2 linked regions of the Bombyx mori genome follow. The protein of the gene in region 1 purifies or fractionates together with the protein of each later gene. This does not show direct contact. Links are inferred from orthologs where the notes say so. Each region holds a gene or a part of one and is shown in the gene's direction. Other genes may lie near its edges.

Region 1 (3,933 bases):
ATCCTGACCAACATTTTTCATTAGGGACAGTCCGTAGTCTAATAGGTAAATTATATGTACCACCGGATCGGAATCGAGAACGGTGACCGGTGCTTAGAGAGCTTCTAAGAACTGTAAGCGGCTAGGGAGAATTCGATAAAACTCAAATATATTAATAATTGAGAAACATTTCTACATACATTGTATGATAATGTTTAATACTAATAGGTTGGGGAAAAAGTCTTTTCGCATTATAGTCTATTCGCATATATATGAACTAGTAACAAAAGCTCTTTGGCTATTATACTATTTGTATCTGGCTGGTTTTGGTATCATTAAAAGCTTAAACTTTAAAGAAGATAATTCCAAATTCAAATTAGGAATATTATTTTTATTTATTTTTCGTACTGTCAAGATGAGTGAATCTAATGAAGAAACTCGATACATTTTAAAATTTTACTACAAAAAAGTAAAAATGCAACGCCAGCCCGGAAAAAAAAATTGCTATGTTTATAGACCTAGTGCAGTGTCTGTGAGAGTAGCACTTTGGTGCGTTTTCAATCCGGAAATTTTGATGTCAAAGATGCACGTCGCTCTGGTCGCCCTATTACGGATAAATTGGATGCCATTTTTGAAAAAGTGGAGCTAGATCGGCATATCAGTAGTTATTATTATGTTCAACTATAAATATTCATAGGACGTTTGACACCAAGTTTTAGAATATACATTTGTAGATTAAAATAGCAGCAATTACCTATTAATTCATTTGCTATTTTTTGAAATAATTCCCTTCATGCTATAAGTATTTTTGCAAACTAATAACTAACGCCTGACTTACGAAACCATTGAGAAAAACAGTGCTCTCCACTCTTTAGGGTTCTCGCAATAGCTTTTTCTCAAGTCAAGCTTTTCCTTGACGTGTAGGTGAGCTCGCAGGGCCCAAGCCGAAGTGTTGCTAACACTGGTTCTAGCAAGAGCAGTGCTTCGCAGAATCTACCACCGGATCGGAAGCGCGACCCACTGAGGAGATCCGCCGAGAAACTCAGTGGGCTGTGTCTATGGATTAATTTACTCGTCGAGCCCTTCGTCGCAAGCGACGGGTTCGGCTAGGTCGATGATCGATGCTTGAGGTACCTAAAAGCACCGTTAATGGATCGGGAGGATCCGTAATGACGTGTTTAGGGCTCAATCATTACCATTGCTTCTTCGACGTACGTACATTTTTAATCTAAAGCATAGATAATAAATACACTTATGATATGCATCTCTTAGTACCTAAATAGTCTGTGCATGCAAAGAGCATAGATAAAATACACTTAATATTTGAGGCAAAGAGAATCAAATTGGGGACAGATAAAAAATTATAAACAGATGACTTGTTGTTTGTAATGTAAAGTTACTTAATTTGTATTTTAGTTTTAGGTTATGTAGGAAGTTGTAGATATTTTGGAAGATCGTAAAATAATTATTTCATTTCAATTAGTAAAACGATAAAACCAACAAAAATAAATAATGTCGAAAGATATCATCATTTTAACACCCAATGGAAGAAGACACAAAGTGCATTGTACACCAGACACTAGCATGTTACAGGTATTAGATTTGGAATGCTATAAAGTAAATGTTTAATATGAAAGTATTTTCAGAAAACTTATAAAATTTAGTTTCTTAAACTACCCGTAACTATGCTTATTATAAGTTTCCATTTCAGTTGTCTTGTTGGTGGTAAACTATGAATATTTATTTGATGCTTGTTTATATAAAAACACTCAAACACTGAATTCAAATGTACTATTTCGATTAATTCATTATAAAATGCAAAATTGTATTCAATTCGTGCACAAATATTCTTCATGACTGCTGTGTAATGTAGTGATTATAATATTTATTCTAATACTGATGTTTCAGCCTTGATGAACCATTTTTAACATTACAATAATAATTTAAAATAATTTGATATAAAAAAAATTACAATATTACCAATAAATAAAAATTAAATTGCAAATTAGTGTAAATGTATCAATCATATAGTAATAGTGGTAAGGTTTAATTAGTCAAATCAATATAATTTTAGATCTTAGAGGATGCATGTAAAAAACAAGGATTCCAACCTTTAGACTACAACTTGAAGTTTCATAATCAGATAATGGATTTAACAACAACAATACGATTTTCTAATGTGCCAAATAGAGCTACACTTGAAATGGTTGAGTGTGAAACAAGACGAGAGGAATCAATTGTCACAATTGGTTTAATGTTAGAAGATGGTAAGTATAATAACATAAATCTGTTTTCTGAAGAAAAAAAAAGGAAACTACTGTTTTTGATGGACATGATATTTTTGTTATAATTGAACTACTAATGTCATTTAGACGCTACCAGACTCATTAGAACAATAATAAATATAGTATTTTTTTTTTATTTTTTTTTTATTGCCCTTGTAGGCAGACGAGCATACGGCCCACCTGATGGTGAGTGGTTACCGTCGCCCATGGACTTCAGCAATGCCAGGGGCAGAGCCAAGCCGCTGCCTATCGCTTAATACTCTCCACAAGCCTCTTTTAAAGAAGGACATGTCATAGCGCTCGGAAAGACCGTGGAGGGGAGCTCATTCCATAGCCGGATGGTACGTGGCAGAAAAGACCTCTGGAAACGCACTGTGGATGACCGCAGTGGCTCCAGGTAGTATGGATGAACTCTACTCCGGTGGCGGGCGGTGCGATGGTAAAAACGAGATGCCGGTATCATCTCGAACAATTCCTCAGAGCACTCCCCATGGAACATTCGGTACAAAATACAGAGGGAACCGAAGTCCCTCCGCAGACCCAAAGGTTCCAAACGATGTATGTCCTTCAACTTTCACAAATCATAGACACAAAGAAAAGTACATTTATGTGAAATTAAAATGTAAAAGTAGTGTTAATCAAGCATTATTTATTAGAAAAAATATTACTTTTATATTTTAGGTAGAGGAAGATCACAATTTTTATAGTTCCAGCCTCTTTATGAAGTAACATAAAACACAAACCCTTTATATATTAACTTGATCACCAGCACCAGTGTTTTTACAATTGTTTTTTTATTTATTTTAGGTGAAAGAAGAACAGCTGATTTTAATCCAAACATAGCATTATATGATATGATAATGAAATTAGCACCTAATGAGTTTGGCTCCTTGCTAAATCCATGTATTTTATATATGCGCCAGGAAGTTGTCGGTGTTGATGCTCTCAAATTAAAATCATTAAGACATCTTGGTTTAATAAAAGGCAAAGCCATTCTGAGACTGCTAAATAAGCTAGAAGATGCTAGGTAAGAAAGTTCTGAAATTACAGTTAAGTAATTTTATTTAAGTTAATTATTGACTACATATTAGCAGTAAAAATAGTTTAGTAGTATAACCAGATACATACACGGGTATACTACACACTGCAAACTGTTCACAGTTCTTGCATCATGTCACATTTAGTGATAACAACTTGAGTTTCTCACTGGTATTCTCAGTGGATCGCGTATCCGATTCGCTGGTAGATTCTGCGCTAGCAGCACTATTCTTGCTAGAGCTACTGTTAGCAAACTAGGCGACGCAGGTGCACACAGCTATTTTGGCCGTACGTGCGCCTCGTCGCTCGCAGGGAACCGACGCTGAAGTACTACGTCTGCAGTAGTTGTGACGAGAAAATCGTAGACCACACGCCCGCATACTGCCCGCTTTCGCGGAGCAGCGCTGCATCCTAATTGCGAAAATATGACCGGACTTGTCGCTGCCGACCGTCGTGGCGACGATGCTCGAAAGCGACGAGCCCTCGCTGGCGAAGCTCGACTTCTGCGAATCCACAATCTACCAAAAGGAGGCCGCCGAACGGGAGAGGGAGAGCTCTTCTTCCCTCTCGGCGCCGTGCCGTCGTCGCCGAACCGGGGATAGGAGGAGGGCGTTCGTCTAGCTCCAGCCCC
Region 2 (3,933 bases), on another chromosome or scaffold:
GGGCAGGTAGCACCGTCCTGCCTATTTCTGCCGTGAAGCAGTAATGAATTTCAGTTTGAAGGGTGGGGCAACAGGTGTAACTATACTTGAGACCTTAGAACTTATATCTCAAGGTGGGTGGCGCATTTACGTCGTGGATGTCTGTGGGCTCCAGTAACCACTTAACACCAGGTGGGCTGTGAGCTCGTCCACCCATCTAGGCAATAAAAAATAAAAATAAAAATTAACTTCCTTAAGTCCACTTAAAAACTTTAATCTCCTTCTCGACCTCTTTAACTTTAAAAACCTTCAACTCCTTCTGGACCTCTTACTAATAAGTTTAAACCTCATTCACTATAAACATGATACATAAACATAGAAAACAACACTCCAAATTAGTATTGCTATTCCCACTTAAATCAGTCAAACTCAACTCAACTTACAAACCATAAGACAACTCATAACAAACACAACCTCACAAAACTTTATACTCAATACTTGAATAATAAAAAGAATCATACCTTCCTATCATATAATCATACAACCTTTCATTATCTTTTATTAGCTTTCAATTCATAAAATTTCTCACTTTCTTTTCTACTACATATTAACCGTTCAATTATTTTATTATAAAACTAAAACAAAAATTCCAAAGGCGCAATATGAATATATTTTTTATTAATATTAGAATACTATTATTAGCTGCTACGCAGTTTTATTCACTTTAATTTAGAAAAAAGCAAGACCTCACGACCAGTCTTTTTTTCTGGAAGAAAGGTAGGTACACTTAATTTTAAATGTATCGAAAACTGGATCTACTGGCTAATTTATTCGTGTATCCGATTTTAAGCGTGATATTTGTCCTGTCATTGTTTATGTTCCAGAGTCGGAAAAAGTAGAACAATCTGAAATTATTTCTAGCATACAGGTTTTTGTGGTTCTACGCTTTAGCGAGTTAAACAGAGATATATTTTTATTGACGTTATACATATTTTTCACTGTATTTGGAATACAAGATTTCAAAGATTTGTCAAATTTGTTATGTCAGTGCTTTGTTGGTGTTTTGTAGTTTTATGTTGATGAGAAGATGTCTAGATCACAAAAAATGGTACTGAATTACCTCACATAGCATATGAGCCTGTCTTCTTGAGAATTAGATGCCTGTTTCAGTGAAAAAATATGAGACTTCAAGTCATAGAAATTTCGAGTTTGCTGTTGATTAGTTTGACATGTCTTCAATTATTTTAATGTTTTTGGTTCGGTTTTTACAAGTAAATAATTCACAACAGAATATTTTAATAATTCTTAATTGGAATATTGGAAAAAGTATAATAGATTGCTTGCCTTAACGGACATAATAATTTTTTTCATTGTTGATCAGGCTTGCCGTTTGTTTTCCAGCTATTGCGAGTTCAGTCACCCGAAGGTACAGCGCGAGTGGAGGTGCTGGACTCCGATGTGACGGCGCATCTATTCGAGCGAATATACGAAGCTCTGAATCTGAACTCTTTCGCATTCACTCTGCACAAGGACAGACAGCGCAAGGAAGAAATCACATCCAGCAAATCGAGACAGCTGCGAGATTGTGGACTGTGTCATGGCGACATGATATACTTGAATCCAGTCAATGGTGCTGTACTCTTTGAACAGTCTTCCACAAGCTCAGAGGTGATTTGACTTCATTGTGTTCCATTCTGATGTAGAAGCTAAAGGCATCTTGAATAACTAATAAAATATGGTTTTAGAATTAGAATCAACCTGGCTTTAGAATTCAAGTCATTTCAACTGTATCAATATCTTTTGTTCTATAATAATTGTTACTTATGGTTCGGTAAAATAATAGCAAATAATGTTATAAAAATTTGTAATTGACAGTGTCAGTGGTATTTATTAATGGCCCTGCACTCATGAATAAATGCCCCTTTTTGCTTCTTTTTAATTTTAAAATAGTATAAGAGGAATGCCCTTGGAATGGAATTTAAATATTATTTTGATTTTTTTTATTGCCCTTGTAGGCGCATGGCCCACCTGATGGTGAGTGGTTACCGTCGCCCATGGACTTCAGCAATGCTGGGGCAGAGCCAAGCCGCTGCCTACCGCAAACATACTATTTTTACAGATATTTCATTTCATCTATATCTATTACATTGATAATAATATTCACTTCCATACACAGGGAGCAGTCTTATTGACCTAGGGTGACATTTTTCAAAATGAACTTATAGCTCAGACTCCTATACCCAAATTACTTTACAAAATACTTATCAATTTAAAAAAAATAAGTATTTACTAAAATTTTAGTCATTCTTACAAGTTGATACATGTATAACTTATACAGTATTTTGAAAATTTTCAAATAAGAGCTTGTGTAGATCTTCAAATAAGAACTTGTGTAGATCTTCAAATAAGAACTTGTGTAGAACTTGGGTAGATTGTAGACCTTGTAGACCCCCAAAATTAATTTTTATTAATGGTAACTACTGGTAAACTTATCTCAACCACTTTGGGAATCCGTAATCTAAATAAATGACAAGTGAAAAGCAGCTTGTGAAATATAATATCTAATCAACACATTTTATAGTCAACTGCCTAGATATTTTTAAGATTAAAAAAAAATTATCTCCAGTATTGTTTTTTCACAAACATTATATTAATTTGTTATATTTTCTATTTTACAGACCCACCGGAAACCCCTCAGTGAAAGTTCCAGACCAGTTCAGTCATCAGAGCCAGGTCCTTCCACGTCTAAAGTCACATTACCAATACCCCCCCCACCTCCTGGTGCTCCAGAGGAAGATGAAGTAGATTTGCAATTGTACAAAGTTTCTGGTTTAATTGAAAGACAGAGGGATGAAAAATTGTAAGTATTTTACTATATTCTTTAACATTTTTATACACTTGTTGAACGCCACGTGAAAAATCGAATGAACCGTTCGGGCCTTGAGGGTTACCTGTGAGCCATATGAGGGTTCTAACGTAAACGCTTCCTACAAGCTACAGATTGCAGCTATCAAACAGAATATGCATGAAAGTGACTCACAGGGCCCTTTAGTTGAACCGAATTCCTTGGTTTTCACATCTAATAGAAAGTTGTAGTTTTTATGAAGATTATACCTTTTAAAATATCTTAAAGGCTTTTTTTTTATTGTCCTTGTAAGCAGACGAGCATACGGCCCACCTAATGGTGAGTGGTTACCGTCGCCCATGGGCTTCAACAATGCCAGGGGCAGAGCCAAGCCACTGCCTACCGCTTTATACTCTCCACAAACCTCGTTTGAAGGACAGGCTAGACAGTAGAAGTCACTGATTTTTATCTTCCATGCAAATTATCGCATTTTACAGGTTTTTTAATGAAAATCTCAAGTTGATAAAAATTACTGATTCCCTGATTTGGTCTTGGCCCGAATGGTATAGCACGCTACGCCCACCGGTGGGTCGCATGGTCGTCATGGCATTCAACATCTTAAACTGTTAATAGTGGCATAGTCTTCTGACATGGTCAGTCAACTCTAACATGTTTTTTTTAATTATAATTAAATAATCGATATTATAAAGATGGAAGTATATTTTTTTGTTACATTTTCACATCAAAGTATTTAAATGGTCAAGATGCACATTGCATAAAATAAACTATTCCTGAAGTTTTATTTTCTATATTAACAAGTATTATATATGTATATTAAATGTATGAAATGAAAAAAAAAACAGTGATTTTCTTAATAATCTGTACTGTATTGACCAACCAAGCGATTAAAATTTGAATAAAATTTAATAAAACATCTTTATACTTCCAACCAACCAACCAACTTCAGAAAAGTCAGATCAAAAGGTCAAAAGGTCAGATATACTTCGTTTAGTTTAATTGTGGTATATAACAATGTCACTCGATAATATAGTATTTTTGGGATTAACAACCTATACTTATTATTATTTATTTATTGTTAATATAGAGGG

The links.
Region 2: the proteins of tether containing UBX domain for GLUT4 (region 1) and nuclear protein localization protein 4 homolog purify together in Homo sapiens (affinity purification with mass spectrometry; 3 studies listed by BioGRID and IntAct, with this or other methods). This does not show direct contact. The link is inferred for Bombyx mori from reciprocal best matches to the Homo sapiens genes ASPSCR1 and NPLOC4.

The regions. Positions count from the first base shown.
Region 1 is NC_085117.1:12,215,076-12,219,008, forward strand, and holds the start of tether containing UBX domain for GLUT4, read left to right. Parts: upstream 1-1,298; 5' UTR 1,299-1,491; coding exon 1,492-1,572; intron 1,573-2,053; coding exon 2,054-2,246; intron 2,247-3,071; coding exon 3,072-3,291; intron 3,292-3,933. UniProt on the Homo sapiens protein: Tethering protein that sequesters GLUT4-containing vesicles in the cytoplasm in the absence of insulin. Modulates the amount of GLUT4 that is available at the cell surface. Enhances VCP methylation catalyzed by VCPKMT.
Region 2 is NC_085123.1:16,719,933-16,723,865, forward strand, and holds the start of nuclear protein localization protein 4 homolog, read left to right. Parts: upstream 1-1,087; 5' UTR 1,088-1,208; coding exon 1,209-1,250; exon of another isoform or gene 1,251-1,305; intron 1,306-1,380; coding exon 1,381-1,647; intron 1,648-2,657; coding exon 2,658-2,839; intron 2,840-3,933. UniProt on the Homo sapiens protein: The ternary complex containing UFD1, VCP and NPLOC4 binds ubiquitinated proteins and is necessary for the export of misfolded proteins from the ER to the cytoplasm, where they are degraded by the proteasome.